Linked DNA regions of Caenorhabditis elegans. Each later gene encodes a partner of the first gene's protein in a complex. Each region holds a gene or a part of one and is shown on either strand. Other genes may lie near its edges.

Region 1 (8,263 bases):
TGTCCATATGGAATGAAGTCTCTTGCTTTGATAATTATATGGAATTCTGTATTGTTTCTTTCATAACTAAGATAACTATTCGGAAAGCAGCTTCTTCGGACAAATCTTCCAGGATTATTTCCAGTCCCTCGAGCATCCAAACAGACACATCCGTATGTGAATAGAAAGTTCACATTTCGAGAATCTTCTTGAAGTTCATGATGAAATGCCAATAATCCTCGAATCCTCACAATTGGCTCGTCCGGCTCGATGTCTAGATTTGAGACGAGAGCTCTGTTGATTAAATAGGATTTCGAAATTTCGATACTGCGACACTTTTTTCCGAAACTTCGAACTTCTGTGATGGGGAATAGTGTCGGAAGCAGCTCCTCGACGTTTTTCGAAATGATTGTTGATGATTTGTTTTTCGGGTTCATTATAATGCGATCTGAATAAATTTCAAATTAATTTTGGCAATGAAAATATGGATTAAAATAGAAATAAGCCTGCAAGCATAGAGGAAACCAGATTTTCGGTTTTTTTTTTCAGAAAAATGACAAAAATTAAGCGCAGGAATGAAAATAGATGAAAAAAAACCGTTTCTTCGAACATTTGTAGAATTTGTGTTGGTTTTTTTTAAAAGGATAATGCGAAATTTTGGAGTTATATGCACTTCACTGAAAAACGGATAGTTCTAATGGGAAGGAAAATTCTTATTCGTGAAGTTATTGGGCCCATTTTCTTCAATTTGCTCGATGATTTAAGAGGCACTGAAGAAAATGCGAGGAAATTATTTTTTTTAATTGTCTGACTCTACGGATTTTTTTTTAATATCCACTATTTTTTCGGGATTTTTTTTTTGATAATTCTCTGTTTTGAACAAGATTTTATAACACAGAAACATAGGAAAATGCCGAACTTTAGCTCTGAAAACTATTAAAAGTTATTTTTATCATGAAGTACAATTTTTCACGGAGAAACCCGACACAAATAAAAGTTTTACGTGATGTTCAACGTTTAATATAAATTTTCAAACAAATAAATCGAATATTGGCCAAAAAAACTAAAGAAAACAGAGTAAAAAGTTCAAAAATAAGATTGCAATTGTTGAAAAACAATGAAAACAATTGCTCGTAAAGTTATGGCGAAGTACGCAAAAGCCTCTGCGTACTTCGCAATCTACCGTAGTCATCAATTAATTTTTTTGTCAGTCGCGCGCGACAACATGTCGTGCCGTGCCGAGAAATACTGCATAGGATATAAAAACAAAGAAACGTTAAGTGATAGCTGAAAATATCAGTTTGATTTAAATGGCTACAAGGTTATTCCTTGACACAAAAAATATCCCGTAGGGAAAACTACAGTAATTCTTTAACATCTTTAAATTTCGATTTAAATTTCGGAAACATTGATTTATCGATTGAATATTGAAATTAAGCCGAAAATTAAAAACTAATACGAGGAAACGAAGAAAAATGAATATCGATGTCACTATTCGAAAAGAAAATCATTTCAAAAATCCGTAAATCGACTAAAGCGCTACAGTAGTCATTTTAAGTATTAATATAGTTCTCGCTACGAGATATTTTGCGCACTATGCATTCTCAGAGTTTTGTGTTCCCGTATACACAGTGCTCAAATTCTTCGTCCAAAAAATTTCTGAGCTTATTTCAAGTTTGATCCAACTCTTGTTAATGTCTTATATAACTTTAAAACGATTCAAAAAACGATTAGGTCAAAAAGTTTGATTTTTAACGCCGCCAAAAAAATTTGCATACGCTTTATAAGCAACTTTTGTACCAAGTTTATATTTCTTTTGAGCCAGACTTGGACAAGAAGTTAGCATTTTGTGTCAGCGCATATTGAAATTTCACTACCATTTCTAATATACTGTAAAGGATAGTTACTTTTGTGGAAAATCTGAACTTTTATCAATTGCACCATAAAAGACGAGGTTACCAAGTGTTCACAGTATGAACTTCACACGTGGTGTTAGAGTGTCCCATTGATCTACGTAGTTCACATTGTTCACAAATGTTCACATTATCCAGATATTCTAATTCAGAAACTAGTATACACCTTTCTCCATTTCATTGCACTTCTCCATTCATACCCAACTACCCGTGATATCCTATACTTTTACTCTCTCTCTCTCATGTCCAATGTCCCTTCAGAAGCTGCTTCCTGGCATCTTCCTCCTCCTTCTTCTGCCAAATCTTTCTGCCAGCCGGGGGACGGGACTCTTTGTGTAATGTTGTCTTCTTCTTTTCCTTCATCTACAGCAGCATCGCCTACTGTCATTCCTTCCCATTCCCGCGTAGCCGCCTGCCGAGTGTCCTTCAACTCTCCGTCTCTTCTACAACTGTTCACTCTCTCTCGCTCTCTCATTGCATTTTGGAACATACAGATAGGGAGTCAGAGAGATAGAGAGTGAGAAAAGAAGCGGAGAGACGGTGTTGCTGTGAGTCAGAGACGAAGAGTGTGTACTGCTCCGGCCGTCCGTTTGTTCGTCCGCATCGGCAGTCTTTTCTCTCATTCTCTCATTCTTCAATGTTCTCTAGCCTCTTTTTTCGTTTATTTTATTCTGTATACACGTTCCTCTCTACCTGATATTCTCCCACACATAGCTTTTTTATTGATTTGTTGATTGTTGTTAAGCGGTTTTTTTTGTTTTCTATTCTATCTACCGTGGACGGAGAAAATACACTGTTTCTATAATTTGCTAATCTTTCCAACAACTAAAATATCTCAGTGGTTCTACCTAAATCACTTCAAACATGGCACATCTTGTTGAAGGAACCTCGATTATTGATGGAAAATGGCAATTGCCAATTTTGGTCACCGATTTGAATATTCAAAGGTGAGGATTTAAAATTATATATTTAGAAAATATTAACTTTCAATAGTACTGCATGTTTAGCAGTTGTTCTTAAATAACTGCAATTGCAGGAAGTTATAGAAAAAGATTCAATGCACATTTTCTGAATTCAAGTCATTTTGTCAGAATAAGTGATAATTGAGTTATTCTCGGATTGAGGTTAAGCCTAAACCAATCCTAGGCCCAAGCCTAAGTCTAAGTCTACGACTAACTATAAGAATAAGCCTAAGTCTACGCCGAAGCCTAGCCTAAGTTTAAGCTTAAGCTTAAGTTTAAGCCTTACCCTAAACCCTAGCCTAAATTTTCAGAAGATTCCGGTTAAATTTTTTTCCAAACATGAATGAGACATTTTCAAACTCAGAGTCTTCCAATTTCCAATAAATGTATTTATTTCTTCCAGAAGCATCTCTGTCCTTGGAAATCTTAATGTGGGAGGACTCATGCTCGAACTTGTTAGCGAATGCGGTGAGTTTTTTTTTCGAATCTTATCACCTCGGTCAAGATCTCAAAGATCTCAATAGACCATGATTTCTCTCTTTTCTACTCAATATAATCTGTTAGATATATCTGCCACTGTGTGCGCCTACGCGTTTGTTACAACGAAAAGATACGTGGTGTGTGCACCATTACGAAATGATGTTCAATATCAGTAAAAATTGAAGGCATGGGAAAATGTTGAAATCTGCTGGAAAAAAATGTTCTGGAAAGATAGGGAACACTTTTGGAAACACATCGTAACGGAGCCCTTGAAGAGTGCGCCAAGTGAAAAATTTCTCGTACAATTCTTTCAAGTTTGCTGAAAATTCGTATTTTGAATAAAACAGTTTAATTAAAAAGTTAATTTTTGAGAGATCTTCACGAAATTTTTTAGGGACTGTGAGCTCCGAAATAGTTGACAAGAAGTCCTCTATACATTTTGAAACATCATAGAAACTATGCGGAACCTATCAAATATTTATGGGCTCTTCTCATCTCCTACCAGTTGCTCTTCTCTTTCTTCTTTTTCTTTTCATCCTAACCCCTGTTAATGTTGACTATTCGAGTGCACGCGTGCGCATCTACATAAGCTGATTGTTTCGGATGGGACATTCGCTGTTGGGTACATAAAGTTTAGAGGCTTTCCTTGCAGAGATATAAGAGCACACAATGATAGGGGGTCCCAGGAGAGAGTATCAAAACTTGAGAAGCAACTGGCATTCATCATGACCAAGAGCAGAAAGGGCGCATAGGAGAGGCGCATAAAAACGTTTTGGAATTAAGTTTTCGCGCGATTTTTAGAACTTGCAGAAGCTGAAGGGATGAAGATTTTCTGCATTAGGGTATAACAATTTGTGTGCTCAATGTGTTTAATTTCCAAGTTCAAAATGTAATCATTTGGGCTTCAGCTGAACAAACAATTTACAAAACAGCTGTATTGAAACAAGAATCTAAAAAACTCCAAATATTTCTATTTTTCCAGATGTTGAACGAGATTGGTCTGATCATGCTCTGTGGTGGCCGGAGAAGCGGCGATGGCTTCAACATACTCGATCGACTCTTGACCAGAATGGAATTACAGCTGAAACACAATTGGAGTTCACACCAATGCATAAAGAAGCAAGAATTCAGTTACCAGATATGCAAATGATTGATGCGAGAGTTGATTTCTCGGTAAATTCATTCAAAGCAACAAAGAAATTGTGCCGTGATTTGGGTATTCGATATTCAGAGGAATTGTCTTTGAAGAGGTAAGTAGGAATTGGGAAGTTTTTGATGTTTTATTTTTAATTTAAATAAGAATGGAGTTGTGAAATTCCTTAGTTGGTTGAACGAGGATTGAAGATCCTTGGGAATCTTAAGCAACTAGGGAAAATCTATGCCTGATCGAAATCCTGCCCCAAAAGTTTGAGCAAGGTCAAAAGTTAACTACTACCGAGCATGTGAAATAACCCAATAATTCAAAATCATATAATTTAAAATATTACAGATATATTCCACCAGAGGATCTTCGACGTGGAACATCTGACGCCGACAACATGAACGGTCCACTCTCAATGCGTCCAGGAGAAGAATCAGTTGGACCAATGACTCTCCGTAAAGCTGCTCCAATCTTTGCTTCTCAATCGAATCTTGATATGCGCCGTCGTGGTCAATCACCCGCGCTCTCCCAATCTGGACACATTTTCAATGCTCACGAAATGGGAACTCTTCCTCGCCACGGAACATTGCCACGTGGTGTCAGTCCATCGCCAGGAGCATATAACGATACGATGAGAAGAACACCAATTATGCCAAGCATCAGTTTTAGTGAAGGACTTGAAAATGAGCAATTTGATGATGCTCTTATTCATTCACCAAGACTTGCTCCAAGCCGTGATACTCCAGTATTTAGACCTCAGAACTATGTGGAAAAAGCTGCGATTAATAGAGGATGGCTTGATTCTAGCAGATCACTTATGGAACAAGGAATTTTTGAAGGAGATATTATTTTACTACGATTCAAATTTATGAATTTCTTTGATTTGAATCCAAAATATGATCCAGTGAGAATTAATCAACTTTACGAGCAAGCAAAATGGAGCATTTTACTTGATGAATTCGATCACACAGAGGAAGAAGCCACACTATTTGCTGCTCTTCAACTTCAAGCAACCCTGCAAAGAGATTCTCCTGAACCTGAAGAAAATAATAAAGATGATGTGGATATTCTTTTGGACGAGCTTGAGCAAAACCTTGACGCAGCTGCTCTTAACAGACGATCAGATCTTACACAAGTTCCCGAGTTAGCAGATTATTTGAAATATATGAAACCAAAGAAATTGGCAGCATTCAAAGGATTTAAACGGGCATTCTTCTCGTTCCGTGACTTATATTTATCATATCATCAAAGCTCCTCAGATGTCAACTCAGCTCCACTTGGACACTTCTCATTGAAGGGATGTGAAGTTAGTCAGGATGTTTCAGTTGGACAGCAGAAGTATCATATCAAATTGTTACTTCCAACTGCTGAAGGAATGATTGACTTCATTTTGAAATGCGATTCCGAGCATCAATATGCCAGGTGGATGGCTGCGTGTCGGTTAGCATCCAGAGGGAAGTCAATGGCTGATTCGTCATATCAACAGGAGGTGGAGAGCATCAAAAACTTGCTCAAGATGCAAAGTGGTAAGTTGTTGATTTTACAATTTAATAAGTGATAATGAAATTATTTTCTTCGAATGAAACAATTTTTCAGGTAATGGAAACGAAAACGGAAACAGCAACACAGCTTCGCGAAAAGCCGCCGCTGTAAAACTACCAAATGATTTCAATGTTGATGAGTACATATCGTCGAAATACGTACGACGAGCACGCAGCAAGCAACAAATTCAACAGCGAGTATCAGATGCTCATGGAAATGTTCGACAACTCACGGCAACCGAAGCGAAACTTCAATATATCCGAGCATGGCAAGCACTTCCCGAACACGGAATTCATTATTTCATTGTAAGATTCCGAAATGCTAGAAAGGCGGAATTGGTGGCTGTTGCTGTGAATAGACTTGCAAAATTGAATATGGATAATGGAGAAAGTCTGAAGACATGGAGGTTTGCAAATATGAAGAAGTGGCATGTCAACTGGGAAATTCGACATCTCAAGGTTAGTTTTTGATGAATAAAATATTTAAGATCTGGACATGATCGGAAATCGAAAAATTGCAAAATGTTGAGAACGTTTTCGAGACCTATTCATCTAAGTTTCTTGTAACAACTTTCTGATTGTTAATCTATTTTGTGATGTCTTGAAATTACGTTTTCATCTCAAAATCTTTCCTAATATGTATATCTAAACACAAAGAACAATTGGCTTTCAAAAAATCTTTGTATTGTTTCAAAAATTATAATATTGCGTTTTTGATTCAATTGTTGTTTTCTATCCATAAGTCTATTCGCCGTAACTTACTAAAAAATTCAGGTCTTTGGTAATTTAAAATCTAAATCAGATAATGTTCTCAAAGACCGAAACTTTTTCGGTAAACTTGGTGCTGACAGGAAGGTAGGCAGACTTCATGCCTATTTGCCTACATGCCAGCGTTGCACCTTGAGCGTTTTAGAAATAAATTTTTAAAATCTGTTTTGTGCCTACATAAAAGGCTTAGATAAACCCGAAAATAACCGAGAACAAACTTTTTGAAATTAATTACTTTTTTTCTTTGAGTATACTATTTTATCATCCTATCTCCCCAATTTCCAGATTCAATTCGAAGATGAGGATATCGAATTCAAGCCACTTTCCGCTGATTGCAAAGTCGTTCACGAGTTCATCGGTGGATACATTTTCCTGTCAATGCGAAGCAAAGAACATTCTCAAAATCTTGATGAAGAACTTTTCCACAAACTTACAGGAGGATGGGCTTAGATATTTAAATTTCTATAATCTTTTGCAAACCAAAGAATTTTAATTTTAGGCTCCAATTCCATCTTTTTCGTTTCAAAATTTCAATATATATATTTGTTTTCTTTCATTTTTCTTGTTTCTCATTTCCCCCCTTCCCCTCTTCCAAATAATTTTTCGTTTTAATAAGACAAGTATACCGGATCGAAAAAAAGTTTTATGTGCCTTTTCATATCTATGGATTAATAATAATTGTATGAGAAAAATTGAAAAATATTATAAAAATTGAATAATAAAAACTGATGAATAAACATTTAAAATCTTCTTCCGCGTTCCTCGAGCTTTTCGAATTTTTGTTGATTGCTGATTTCTAGTCTTCCAACGTTTCGTTCAACTTCAATCAGCAACTGATCTCGCTCTTTTTCCAGTTTTTCAAATTCTCCCATCACAATATCATTGAGTTCCTTGTATTTTTCAACTTCTTTCCTCATATTCTCAACGTTTCGCATATCTCGCTGGAATAATAATCAGGAAATTATAGTCATTTTCCATCTTTTCTGGTAGTAGGCAAACGTAGGTACAAGGCAGGCAGGCACTGTTCTGCTATCTAGCTACCTACCTAACTACCTAGGAATCCTTAATCTGTTCTATTCAACCATATAAAATCAATAGTACAAAACATATCGGCAATATAAATTTGATAGAAAAAAAGCAAATAAGTTTGTATCCCGTTATTTAAAAATTTGTTTTCAAACGGATTGAAATCATGTGAAAACATGTTCAAGAAGTATCAAGAAATTTGAAACAAAATTTTCAAGCAACAGCAAAAAATATCTGAATGTAGTCTTCGCCCATAAATTTGTTTTTTCACGATTTAGAATCGAATTGTTTCTTATTTTTCAAACTAGTTTTGTACGTTTTTTTTAAAGTTAAACAATTTGTCAGAGCAAATCAAGCAACTTTCACGAATGATACGTACATCCCTTTTCTTACCTGAAAATTCCTCTTGTAATCCTGAAGCCTCGCGATTTCTTTGCTCATCTCATCAATGTT
Region 2 (8,698 bases), on another chromosome or scaffold:
AAAATCCAGTGAAACTGAAATTAAATAGATTATGAATTGTGTTTTTTTTTTCAACAATTATACGCCCTAATCTAGAAACTACTTCGAAAAACTTATTATTTTTTTAAATTCTAATTTAGAAAGCAAAAAATAAAACAATAAAGACCTTGTAGTCGCCGTCAATCTCTTGACAGATCGTAAACAAGCGCAAAAATGAAGATGGGCGGTTTTTTAATTGAAATTTTAAACAATAATATTAGAGAACTTTCGAATTATTTAAGTAAAACTGAAAATTATCGAAAAGAAACATTGATTTAGCATAAAAAGCCGCAGAGGACACTCGGGGAACAACAACTGACTCTGTGTCTGCGTGCAAAACTGAAAGTAGCATTTATCTCTGCGCTCTCTCATTTTTGTGCGTATTTAAGAAAAGTCTAGTCACTTCTCTATCTTTCTTTTTTCAATCCTACAATTCACGTCAAAAAAAACTTGTTTATTCTTTGAAGGAGGGTCAGATATTTGATTATTGTAGTCTCTAGCGTTTTTAAGTGGTAAATACTAAATTTTAAATCGGTTGATATGCAAAAAATAAATTAATCAGGCTTAATAACAGTTGTCAAACCACTTCGGGTCAAATACTTGAAACTTTTCGAACTTTTGGGAATCTTCTAAACTGAAAAATTGAAAATCCACACGGTAAATAGGATAAAAAGAATTCCAATTTTAAACGAAAAAATTTAAAGAAATTAAAAGAAATAAAAAATTGTCGTCAAGTTGAATGCTTTCTGTGCACTTGGATGCAAACACCAAGCTCCTCACTTTACGCGCAATTTTTTTTCCTTTTTATAATTTAAAAATATTATTTAACATGTCTTCTCAGATAGTTATGGCTAATATCAGTTTCAACCAAAAATTAAAAAGACAAAAAATTAATTTTTCAGATTTTTTTCATATAAAATTAATATTACATGAAAAATTCGAACAAGATAGTTCAAAAATAAAAGCACCATTGAAAATTGGAAATAGTACAAGAAGTGTGTGAGTTGTTGGTCGGTGTTAAGAGGGACAAAAGGCAATGAAAGATGAATATAAAGCAAGTCAATATATAGAGAAGGAAGAAAAAAATCCGTATTTAGAATGGGGTAAAAGCAGTGTGATGAACAATTGATGAAGGAAAAAAAAACAAAAAAATGGAGATTTTTTGAATAAAACAAAGAAGAATGTGACAATTTATCGCTAAATACTCGTTTCGAGTTGTTTGGATGGAGAAATTGAGCTTTCATATTAGAAAATTTGGGAAAATTATTAAAATATAAGGATAAAAACTATTTAGTTGGCTTTTCCAGCGTATACTGGATTTTTAAATGTTGTCGTGGCCTGTTTGTAGATTGGGTTCTCGTTCTGAAAAATGATAATTTGATAAATTTATATGTTTTTTGTTCCGTGTCACTTACCGTATCCCATTTGGCCATAAGCCTTTCGTTATTGAAAGTAGCGTATTCGGATCTATCATGAAGTACTGTGAGCAATTTCCAGAGCAACAAGAGAAGAATTCCGAGGATTACGATACCCGCAATGACTCCGAGCACAATTGCGAGCACAGGGACAGGTGGAGGACAATCTTTATGTTTTCTGACCCAGACTGTTGCATTATCTGTGGCCTCATCGTAATAGTAGAGATAATAGAATGTACAATCATCAGCTGGATCCACAAATTGGCAGGGTGTAGTTTCGTTGAGATCTGGAAATTTTAAAATTTCAAAATTTCAAGTTTTTTAATCGAGAAAAAAGGTTTAGAGAATTAGCAAAATTGCAATATTTACGTTTTAAGTATTATACACATTTTAAGGCAAAATCCATTATTTTCAGAAAAAATGTTTCTATTTTCCTGAAAATCAAGATTAAACGTTTAGAAAATTAACAAAAAGTGTAATATTTTAACAAATCAAATCAAATTTCCATTTAAAAAAAGAAGAAAAATGGGCAAAATTCCAAGCTATTTTTCGATAAATCAAAAGTTTTAGTTTTCCAATATTTCGAAAAAATATTTTAATATCTTTTTTTCTTTAAATTTTCCGATCAAACGTGTTTTTTTTTCAGAAATAAAATTTTCAAAAGTTTCTGACATTTAAAAAATTGATTTTCTGCTTTATCAGTATATTTTTTTAACTTACTGGGTAATTCCTCAACAGGAATAACTTTGAATTCACACTGATCACAGGCGGTCTCATTAAGTGGCCCTGTCTGCCATTGCTGGCACATTACACAATTCTTGTATTCCACACATTTCGTCGGACACGTCGGACAAATTTCGCATTTCGCTCCCGAATATCGATTTCCGTCGGGCGAATCGAAGCATCGACATCTTCCACAAATACATTCACCCTTTCCATTACAGATTTTTCCATTTGCAGAGAGGCATGAATCAGTTGAAATTGGGCATTCACAGGCTCTTCCAGTCCATCCAGGTGCACAAATACACTTTCCACAGTTGCATTCACCGTGTTCTGCACAGATTTTACGATCGTGTCGTGGGCAATTGAAGTTGTCGCATTCACAGAATTCTCCAGAGATTTGTTCTTCTGGATTGGCACGTGGATTACATTCACAACGTCCACAGTTACACACACCACGACCCTCACAGATTGCTGATTCGTTAGTTCTGGAAATTAGATCATTAGAATTTTTAAAAAAGAAAAAACGGAAAACAAAAATAGCTTAAATTTTTTAGCATTTTTGATAAACAATTTAATTTTTGTTAATTTTCTAACTTTTTTTCCAATTTTTTTGATTTTCTCTGAATTTTTTTAAAAAATGTAAGAAAGCAAAAATTATTTTCTAAATTTTCGAGCAAAAGTTTAAACTTCTGATTAGGCAACGACCTTTTTTTCGGAGTTTTTCCGGCAAATTTAAATGGATTTTCTCGTTTTTTCTTGTGATTCCATCGAAGGCGTCAAATTTTATCCAAAAAACCGAGAAAATTCAGTTGAAATTTTTAAAAAGAAAAAACTACAGAAAATCAATTTATTTGGAAATTTTCAAGGAATTTCAAAATTTTGTGATCTTAATTTTTATTCCAATCAATTTTCGATTAGTATTCCAGCCATAGAAGTTTTATAGCTTTTTTTTCGATTAAAATTTTTTTAATACTGCTCGGCCAATATATTTTTTAAAATTATTTCTCACATAATTTTCATGTTAAATTTTAAAAAAAACCATACCTTTTGCATTTTTCATTGAGCGCAGCAGTACTCATTCCAGGTCTATTACATTCACAATATTTTCCAACATTTCCTCCTTTGCATCGACAAACTCCACAAACCATATCTCCTCCGTTACAATCAGCCGAATTCGTCACAATTCTGTCTTGACGTTCACAATCACAATCGCATAAAACTTTAACATTAACGATAAGTGTCTCATCCAATCCAGATGGTCCGATACGGAGAACAAAATCACGTTTATCGATACAATGAGTATTTTCAAGGGTTACTTCGAATTGAACTTCATCTCCAACACGAATTCCCTCACAAACATTGGTATCTTTCAGTGTGGTTCCGCTGAAAAATTACGGTTATTTATAGGGTCAAATTTTAGAATAAAATTGTAATAATTTTAATAGTTTCGCTCCAAAATTGTGCTTTTTTTTAGTTTAAAACAATTTTATGTGAAGACTTTTTCGTCTAGAAACGTGAGAATTTAAGAGAGCTCAATTTTTCGATTCAAATTACTTTTTTTTTAATTTCGAGAAAAATGAATATTGAAAATTGCACGGCGAGGGCAATATTGTAGATATTTTACAATTATTTATATTGTTTTATGTAAAAGCGGATGAATCTGAAGGTTTCAACACCGAATTAACAGATTTTCACCTGAAATACCATAAATAAAAATTATATTACCAATTTTGAATGTTAAATACAAAAAAAGTAACAAAATAATCCAAAATCAGAATTTCAGCCAAAAACGCTTCTTCTCGTGGAGTACACGAAGCCTGCGTAAATCTACATGATCGAGGTCTTTCTCAATCTGTTTCTACAGCGTTTTTTTGTTTTTTTTTTAATTTTCAAAAGTTCCCAACTTTCATTTAAATTGAATATTATTCAAAAAACTCACTCCAAACACATAGATCTGTAAGTGAGCTTGAGTCCTTCTGAAGCATTTGCATTATCAACCATAATGATCTTTTCACTAATTTTCAAATATTCCTTCTCAATCAAATCGACAATATTTCTTGAATCATTAGCCAAAACTCCAACCGACGATGAAACATCTGGGAGTGCATTCGACAATTGTGTATACAAATCCTGATTGTTCTTTGTAACAGCAAAAATGACATTTGCCTTACGATCCTTGATCATTTGATGAAGAAGTGCAATTGATGGATAATCTTGATTAAGTGTTTCAGTATAATATCCTTCTCTATCTAAATGACATGTTCCATCATTTGGTTCGACGACACCTGCCAATCTTCCGTCTCCAGCGAAATGGAATCCAGCGTCAGTTGAGAAAACGATCATTTTACGAGCACGTTCACGCCACCCAATGGTTTTCTGAAATATTGATTTTTAGATTTTAAGCTTTCCCGATATCTCAAAAATGTTGATTTGATTCTTTTTGAATTTTTCTTTTAAATCAAATAACCACTTACATTACAAGCCAACGCCTGAACAACAGCATCGAAACCTCCTTCCGGAGCATCCAAATTTCCAGAAATTTCAGCTTTATCAACTTCAGCCTTGAACTTTGCCGTGTTCGTCGTCAATGACATTTGATGCTTGAATCCATATGGTTCTGCACATGGTGTTGGACACGGAGATAATTGTTTTTCGATTCGTGGATCGATGAATGGCATAAGTTTCTTGTCAATGAATGAACCGAATCCTAATCGGAAATTCTTTGTGACAGTTCTCATTCGTTCGGCGAGCAAGTCTCCGAGTTCGGACAGTTTCTGTTTGTCATCCTTCATGGAATATGAGAGATCCATCAAATAGTACAAGTCAACTGGATAATCAACGGCTTGACGGTAGGTCACATTGAAACGAACACGGGATTCTGAAAAAAAAACATTTAGATTGTTGTTGATATTGAAGAACTGGATTTAGAGAAAAATCTTGTGATTTTACAAGTTTTCGAGTCGCAGCGGTCACTAATTAATTTTTATTTTATAATCACCCTGAATTGCAAATTTTAGAAGTTTATCATTAATTCGTTGATTTAGGCATATTTTAAGCCCAAAAATCTCTTAAAATCCAAAAATAGTCAAACGAGCCTAAAATGTGTAAATCAACGAATTATGATAATAATAATAAATTACTTCACTTAATTGTATATTACAGGAGCTTTTTAAGATAAAAATTAAATAAAAAAGAGGCTGAAAATAACCAAAACCGGAAATATTTTAACTTTCCGCAAAAAAAATGCAGTACGATTTTTTTTTCAGTGTTTTTGAGACAATTTTCAAATGTGATTTTCAGCGGTTTTTGTTGTGAAAAATCAATGAAAAACATTTCTTTAATTAGTGCAAATTTTTCCTGAAAATTTAAGACTACGAAATTACCCTGAAATCTTCGTTTTTTTTGCTGAAACCCCAAAAAATTTTTTGTATTTTATTGATTATTTTCATCGAGTTTTTAAACGAATTATCTTTGAAAACCATATAAAAAACTTACTGGGCCGAATTTCGACGTACATCTCCTGTGGTTTGATCTGAACGGCTTCTTCCTCAGATTCAACTTGTCCTTGATCGGAGAGTTTACTGTCTTCAGTGATATCCAATTTTGTGGCCGGATCCTCGATATAACTGTTTGGACATCCATGTTCCATGAGCTTGGCACGGCTATCACAACGGGCATATGGCTTCTTCTCGTCGAACATCTGGAATTTTTTTTATTAAATAAAATAAATTCATGGTCTCAAGCATTTAACATACCGGTGCTCCACACCACGCGCAAGATTCATGATATTGAATGCACGCTGAGCATGTGTAATTGTCACGTGACAGACTGTAGCATGGGAATTCTGATTTTTCGACGACTTTTCCAGTGACTTCTCCAGTCTTCCAATCGCTTGCTGGTAAAGCGAATGGAAGAAGTGCTGCGAGGAGCAGCAATGATGTTGAAGGTGGCATTTGATGCCGGGTAGGTTCAACTGAAAAATTAATTAATTGGCTTTTAGTACATTGAGAACGGAGTAATTAGAAAAAAAAACGGTGAGATTAAAAAATGGTGTATTTATAAGAAAAATTGATGATGAAACTCTACAGAAACCTGATATCAAACTGCTTTCAACAGGTGGCAACTTTCATACAACTTTTGAAATTTTTAAAGCTCTCCAAAAAAGTTAGATTTTTTGAAAAAAATATTTTGATATAAAAATCAAGAATATCATACTAAAAATGGCACATCCCCAATTCATAATTTCTTCAGTGAAGAAAAAGTTATAATATAAAAGTTATACAATAAAAAATATATAGGAAATTTTGAAAGAAAATGACTTCTTGAAATATTAGTCACCATAGTAGGAAAATTTATTGTTTACTCAACAAACGGAGTGAATGCGGGAAGTATAACGGAGTCATGTTCTTTTTGTTAGAAAATTACATAGTTTTCGGGGGAAAATATAAAAAAACTTGCAGCGAGGAATATTGGAGTTCAGACAACTCGGATTTGAGAAAAATCGGTCGTGTCGAGACCGGGTACAGTATTTTCGGGAAACAATAACTTAATTCGGTATCTGCAGGCACACATGTGTAATGTATGAAATTTGAGATTTCGGGATAAAACTTCATCCGTTTAACATTTTTGGAAGTTATGCACATAACTTTTCAAACCTTAAAAATCGATAAAAGTATCAACTACGTCCACCGATCACCTCTTTTCGGAACGTGGGCGGATCTGCCAAGTGCTTCGACAGGAGCATCTCTCGCCTTCTCTCTCTTCACAACTGCCATCAACCCAGCAGCAGAATGCTCTTCGAAGAGATAGTGTAGGCGATAGAGTGCTCTATGTTGGCCGGGAGAGGGGCTCGGACCAAAGTGTAACGAGAGTTACACCTGCTTGTATCGTCGAAGAAACAAAGAAGACGAAGGGAAGAAAACCAAAGGGAAATGGGTGAAAAGGCGTTAGAATCGGGAGCTTCTAGAGACATCAGAGACCGATGAAATTGCGAAATTCACAGGAGGGGGTTTGATGTGGTGAGGAAAGGGATTTTTCGATAGTTTCAATATCGTTAGTTTGGTTCAAAAGTGGGAGTGGATTCTCATTTTGGAAGACATTCAAACAGGGATATTAGCTGAAACTAAAAAAAAGGATTTCACATTCTAGATCGACATTTTCCTTCTTTTTTTTGTGGTTTAATGAAATTTCTGACTATTTTGGGTATTTTTAAGCTTCCCGCTATTCCAAAAATGTTTAAACTCATTGCTGAACATCAAAACTGTTCCTGGTAAACTAGTTTAGGTGAAACTTTGAAGATAACTATAATTCTTGCTCTTACAGCTTATGAATGCACCTAGTAATTATTAAAATGTCAAAGTATAATTAATTTTAAAATGGCTGTCAAAAGTTATCATACAACGATATAACAATTTAGACATTGTGAAAAACGACGATTTCAACACTTAAATAACGAAAAGAGTAGAAAATAATAGCGTCTGAGTCATTCTTGTTCTAAATTTCCCACGCCCACCGTCTCCCGTCTCCAATCCATCAAATCGATAACAATCTGATAGGAACTAATTCAAAATCCAAACTGAATTGAAATTGAAATTGGGAGGAACAAAACGAAGAAGGGAACCAAGGGATGACAAGTAGTAAGACATCTGGTGCATACATATACTAGTATCCTCTGTCTCTATGTCTCTCTGTGTTCGTATTGCCCTTGTGTGTTTAATCATAGCACTAGCCCGGAATAAAAGAGCATTGAATCTGTGGAGAGACAGACACAATGAGAAGAGGGGTCGACTGTTGGTACTTTTGTTAGCAGGAGGGGAATCTACAGAGAAAAGAAGCAGTTAAACGGAGTGTGGACAGCAGCAGTCAGGATATATGGAGATCGATGATTATTGTGGGTGATGATGGGCGGCGGAAGAACAAATTAAAACAAAGTTTTCTCCCGAAAAAATACCGTTTTTCGTAGGCATGTGGAGATATTCAGCATTCAAAATTATGAAAGATGCCGAAAAAGAGGAATATTCTCTCTGGGGATATATCATCACTCAGGCAGAGCAACTTTTGATGGCCCGACACCATCAAAAAGAGGATGAAATGTAGTTTTTTGGGGAATTCTTGAATGAGAAAAGAGCTGAACTACAAAATAAAGACAGTGCAGCATGTTCTCATAATATTTTTCATTAAAATAAAATGATAAAATTTAGAAAAATAGAAAAACGCTCAAATTTTATAGTTTGTCGACGTTTTTTTAAGCGTTTTTCCAATTGTTTTAACAGAAATAGAAGTTATTTTCGAATAAAGAAACACCAGAAGCTAATTTAGCTAAACCTCAAGAGAAATACGAGCTAAAGAAGCTTTTCTTTCAAGAAACATTCTATCAATGCAGAATTCTCCACCAAAACCTGCGTTTGAAGCTGTCAAGCTAATATATCATAACTTTCACCTCTTTTTCACTTTTCCCCGCTAATTTTCCTATTAGTCGGGCTATATCTTGCTGTCAAACGATATGCACTTGAAGAAGAATTATTAAAGTGATTGGAAACATG
Region 3 (5,218 bases), on another chromosome or scaffold:
TTTGTTTCTTTCAATTTTATCCTATTATTCCAATTCAACGCTGATGCATTACTATTGTTGTCATATTTCATTTCTGTCATTTTTTAATCAAATGTGCTGAACATTAAAAATTATCTGATCTCTTGAATCCCTTGTCTTGTTTTATGAATAAAAGTAATATATCAAAAAAAAAAGTCGAATGGAACTGCTGAAAGTGCTCCTTTTAGTGCGCATGATATTTTTCACACATATTTTTTTTGAAACGGTTTTGATCCGTGTCCAGTATCCATATTTGATTTTTTTAAAAGAAATTTTAAAAAGTTTGTGTAGACAATTCAATGTTTAGTTTTCCCTTTCAAGCTAGTTTTCACTAACAGGAAGATGCTATAAAACTATGAAACGAAAAACTTCAAGAAAAGGAAATTGAAAAATTGTGATCTACACAAATATTTTTCTAACATTTTCAAATGTGGATGATGAACACCAGACATTCGTGGCAACTGTAGACCAACTATTTTATAAAATGAGCCAGTTTGGCATGTGCTCACAAACTTTTTTATGGAAATTCAGAATATGGAAAACTACTTACTTTCTCTGAAAATAAGATTTTTTTAGTTGGGAAAATAGGACATTTTTGAAAGATTTTTCATTTGATGTTTTAACTTTCGGATTAATTGTGAGCACTTTTTAAATTGTTCCAACTGAAATTAAAAATATTTTTAGACAAGCTAAAGATTTTTCGATATCACTGAGTTTCAATTAAAAAATTTTGAGAACATGCCACACTGGTTCATTTTGTAGAAACTCACTTTGAAACTTATAGATTTGTGTAATAAAATACTCAGTTTAGAATTTATACACTGCTCCGAAAAAAGTCGGTCCAAAAACCTCTGTTATCGGTTTACGATCTTCTAGAAAAAGCGGTGGTATTTCTCAACACTGCGCACAGCTGTTTGGCAGGTGGAGGCATTTCTACTGGCAGAGGACCTCATTCTATAATGTCATCATTTCAAAGTTAGTCATTGTTTTCAAGCTACAATTTCTGGATTTTTGTCATCCTGATATATGATACTAGCTCATGATCAAGGCCAGTCGTAAGAATATAAAAACACAAACGAAGGTCAGATACTGAACATTTATCTGCCAACATTTGCGGGGTTCGTACTTTTCAACCATGTCTTTTGATTTCTCATATCTAAACTGATGATCCTTTCTTATTCTCACAACTGTCTATAAACATGTGTTAGAAAAAGCTTGTTCCTGCCTGTTCCGAGTATCAACGAGCAGCAATACTTGGCTATTAATGTGACCCTACGCACGCAACCCGATTGTATGCGTCTCTTCGAATCGCGCACTCTTCCCGGAGTCGTTACGTCTGCGGCCGTAGTCTGTGACCCCCCGCTTGGCTGTCGGCCAACCCGCCGCGCGCGCATTGCCTCTCGCTTTCTTCCACTCTTTTTAGTTGTACATTCTGCGCACTTTCTTTTTGCCCAGTAAATGCCCATATCACTGTGTGAGGAAAGTTGATTTTCAACAACTATTATCATTTTTAAGGTGTTGTTTATAACTATTACTATGTTTAAATATAATTCAAAACTTTATAGTTTAGCCGTATAGAAGTTGTATTGAATTTTTGGTTTCATTTTTACAACTAGTTTTATTTTTAAATGCAAACACCACAAAAGAAGCATTGTTGCTTTCCTCCGTTGCATCTCAAAACATCTGGTGTAATACATGTATCACATTTTGAAGCGTGAAATGTGCCGCTTCACTGAATTTTGTTATGTAGAGTAGTACATAGAAAGTCAAAAAAAAATCGAAATAACTAGTTCGAATTTTTTCCCATTTAAACACACGATATCCCAACCGATGTTTCTGAAGAATCTTTTTTCTGTTCCCAATCAATACTGATCATCAACACATCGGATACACGTCTCCCTCTGTGAGTTAGTCAGGGAAGCTGAGGCATCCTGTTGAATCTGTTGTGCAGCAGCACTCACACACATACTTTTGTTGTTCACTTATATCTCTATCTCTTGGTTCGTTTTCATTCTTTACACAAAATGCAATGGCAAAAGCTTCCACGCCACCGCCTCCGAGTTCTTCTTACACATATGTCAACCCGTCGCATCCTATACCTTTGGCACATTTGCCTCTTCCTTGAGGATTTCTTCTTTTCTACTGTTTCACAGCCCCCTCGTATAATACCTCCAGTGTTTTTACGATTCTTAGAATATGGAAATTTCTGTGTTTATGCAAAAATTTACTTTGCATATAACAAAATGTAGATATGAAATTCTGACTTTTTGTGCTCTTTTCGATTAACCAACATACCTAACCTATACACACTATATGCTTTCTCCGGCTTTCCCTTGTTTGTACATATTTGTCTTCATATTACTCGCTCGCTTTCTTTTCTTCTTTCCTACCCCCACCTTTTTCCTTACAAACCCATGGTCGTTAAACCATCCTGTGTGCATAGTGGCCAACTTTCAGTGGTTCAATAATAGATGGTGTGTGGCGGAATGGATTCCGACCACAACCATATCAACGGGGATCTCGCCCATGGCTTCGAGAACATGGTGTGCGTCCGTTGTAATGATGGTTTTTCGATGCAAGATCAGATGGTGAACTCTTCCGGGCAAGTATGGCATTCGGAGTGTTTTGTGTAAGTTTTTATAAGTTAGAATTAAGAGAACTCAAAAATTGCAAAAAAATTTTTAGATGTGCTCAATGCTTTGAGCCATTCCCAGACGGCATCTACTTTGAGTATGAAGGACGAAAGTACTGCGAGCATGACTTCCATGTTCTGTTCTCACCATGTTGTGGAAAATGCAGTAAGTATCTTTGAGAAGACACGCAGAGCCATAAATGTTTTATATTCTAGACGAGTTCATCGTTGGACGAGTGATTAAAGCAATGAATGCCAGCTGGCATCCGGGATGTTTCTGTTGTGAGATTTGCAATAAACAGTTGGCCGATGTCGGATTTTTACGGAACGCTGGACGGTAAGTTGGAGAGCGTAAACGAAGCTCGAAAGAATTTCAATTTTCAGAGCTCTCTGTCGCGAATGTAACGAACGGGAAAAGGCAGCAGGTCATGGACGATATGTGTGCCACAAATGCCACGCAATGATTGATGATGGACAACACATCAAATTCCGTGGAGATTCATTCCATCCTTATCACTTTAAGTGCAAACGTTGCAAGTAAGAATTTATCTTGTTTTACAGTATGAGTTGAATTTAAAAAATTTTCAGCAATGAATTAACGACAGCTTCTCGTGAAGTAAACGGAGAGCTCTACTGTCTCAGATGCCACGATACCATGGGTATCCCAATTTGTGGAGCATGTCACAGGCCGATTGAAGAGCGTGTCATCGCGGCACTCGGCAAGCACTGGCACGTGGAGCACTTTGTCTGTTCCGTCTGTGAGAAGCCATTCTTGGGACATCGTCACTACGAGAGAAAGGGACTTCCATATTGCGAACAGCACTTCCACAAGGTACTTGAAATATGAACAAGCAAACATTAATAAGTTTGTTGCAGTTATTCGGAAATCTTTGTTTCAAATGCGGAGATCCATGTTGCGGGGAAGTATTCCAAGCTCTTCAGAAAACGTGGTGTGTCAAATGTTTCTCCTGCAGTTTTTGTGATAAGAAACTTGATCAGAAGTGAGTGCAAAACTATTCATATGAACTTGATGAAAACAAATTAATGTATGCATTGCAGAACGAAATTCTATGAATTCGATATGAAACCAACATGCAAACGATGTTACGATCGGTTCCCCACAGAATTGAAAAAGCGCATCTCAGAAAGCTTAAAGGACCGCGACGTTGAAAATCAAAGAAGATCGATGAGTCCTGGACCAAAATAATAAAAAAGAAAGAAATAAAGGAGTCCCCGTAATTCATCAATTTCCATTAAAGAAGTAATACTTTCCAAATGCCATTGCTCATTTCTCTTTCCCATTGTTTTTAATACCTTGGTGCTAAAAAAAAACATCGTGAAAATTGTTATCAATCCGTTTTGTCTTTTAAATGCCTTATATTTCAAAACTATTTTTCGGTCACACAAAAATGTCATTGTACTCATTTCTAGCTCCATAATTGTCCTTCCCCTTCCCTTTCCCAGCTACTTTTTGATTCAGAAGCCTTCTGAAAACAATCATAACTTTCGACCAAATTTTTTGTGTTCCTATCCGCAAAAACTTTGCATCTTTTCTCGGGTGTCATTATTGCATAACTTGATTTCTGAATTTTTGTACTATTTTTTTGTTCAGAAAAAAAATATTGACTGTATTGAAACAAAATCGTATTGTAATATTGAATCCTTTTTTTCGGCATCAACAATCAATTTGTAATCAGTGATCAACAGGAAGGTGAGTCCATAGCGCCCGGAGAGATATTTTTGGTTCAACTTGAAACGTGTTAAGTGAGAATTATACTTTCCAGTGTCAAAATGTTTGTGAAATTTCTAAAAATACGAATGAGCCAGTAGAAATGATCGTATTGCACTTGAAATTCTCTTGGGAATTTATTTGTTGAAGCTTCAAAATGTGAAAGAAAAATTGGGCTATTCCAACAAAAAACGACTTTCATCGTTTTTTTGCTCAGCAAACTCTGTTTGATCATTTTACATAAAGATGAAATAGAGTCGATGATTTTTTTTTAAATTCAAAATGACAAAAAAAATTCAGTTTCCAAGAAGTTAATTTCGTTAAAAAATAAATTTTCAATTATCGATTATTTGAAGAATTTCCAACAAAATTCTTCTTTTTTATCAATTTTTTTTTTGGTTTTTTTTTGTGGAAAAGTCTAAAATTTTGTAAGATTCTGTTATTACTCAAAAATCACAAAAAAGGACAAAAAACTGACACAACTGTAAAAAACAAACATATCAAAATTAGGTAATTTAGTTACGCGGGTATGGGAAAATAATTCAATACTTTCTATTTTTTTTTGTTGCAAAATTTAACAATTAATTAAAAAATTCAGAAAAATTCAATGATTTTTTAAACTGTTGTGCTTATTATAGTGCAACTTTTTTCCAGTCATTGAGACCAAAGAATCCATAGATGTTATTCCATCTTTTTCCAAATTTTATTTATTGACAAATATCTAATTAGTTTAAAAATCTAAAATCAAACCTCAATTTACGGTAACTTTATTGAAAACTTGAAGCATGAGCAAGTTTAACAAAAATTTCAAATATTGACCCAATAATTACACATATTAT

Evidence for each region. Proteins that work in one complex are often made in the same cells at the same time.
Region 2: unc-112 (region 1) and pat-3 share a complex: the UniProt entries of both Caenorhabditis elegans proteins name them as parts of the integrin containing attachment complex.
Region 3: unc-112 (region 1) and unc-97 share a complex: the UniProt entries of both Caenorhabditis elegans proteins name them as parts of the integrin containing attachment complex.

Annotation. Positions count from the first base shown.
Region 1 is NC_003283.11:14,691,123-14,699,385, reverse strand, and holds unc-112 (Protein unc-112), read left to right. Parts: upstream 1-2,731; 5' UTR 2,732-2,756; coding exon 2,757-2,839; intron 2,840-3,257; coding exon 3,258-3,322; intron 3,323-4,316; coding exon 4,317-4,584; intron 4,585-4,823; coding exon 4,824-6,001; intron 6,002-6,071; coding exon 6,072-6,475; intron 6,476-7,069; coding exon 7,070-7,234; 3' UTR 7,235-7,524; downstream 7,525-8,263. Other genes in the region: set-5 (SET domain-containing protein), read right to left, coding at 1-416; gasr-8 (uncharacterized protein), read right to left, coding at 7,525-7,725, 8,204-8,263. UniProt on the Caenorhabditis elegans protein: Component of an integrin containing attachment complex, which is required for muscle development and maintenance. Probable regulator of cell-extracellular matrix adhesion. Required during initial muscle assembly to form dense bodies and M-lines.
Region 2 is NC_003281.10:3,908,021-3,916,718, forward strand, and holds pat-3 (Integrin beta pat-3), read right to left. Parts: upstream 6,130-8,698; 5' UTR 6,110-6,129; coding exon 5,912-6,109; intron 5,857-5,911; coding exon 5,652-5,856; intron 5,035-5,651; coding exon 4,631-5,034; intron 4,533-4,630; coding exon 4,096-4,532; intron 3,540-4,095; coding exon 3,201-3,539; intron 2,642-3,200; coding exon 2,154-2,641; intron 1,721-2,153; coding exon 1,434-1,720; intron 1,381-1,433; coding exon 1,309-1,380; 3' UTR 911-1,308; downstream 1-910. UniProt on the Caenorhabditis elegans protein: Integrin alpha ina-1/beta pat-3 is a receptor for laminin. Integrin alpha pat-2/beta pat-3 recognizes the sequence R-G-D in its ligands. Plays a role in cell migration, morphogenesis and probably in cell-cell interactions.
Region 3 is NC_003284.9:5,590,658-5,595,875, forward strand, and holds unc-97 (LIM domain-containing protein unc-97), read left to right. Parts: upstream 1-2,475; 5' UTR 2,476-2,504; coding exon 2,505-2,647; intron 2,648-2,703; coding exon 2,704-2,816; intron 2,817-2,866; coding exon 2,867-2,987; intron 2,988-3,034; coding exon 3,035-3,187; intron 3,188-3,238; coding exon 3,239-3,482; intron 3,483-3,526; coding exon 3,527-3,651; intron 3,652-3,709; coding exon 3,710-3,857; 3' UTR 3,858-4,308; downstream 4,309-5,218. UniProt on the Caenorhabditis elegans protein: Component of an integrin containing attachment complex, which is required for muscle development and maintenance. Probably function in adherens junction.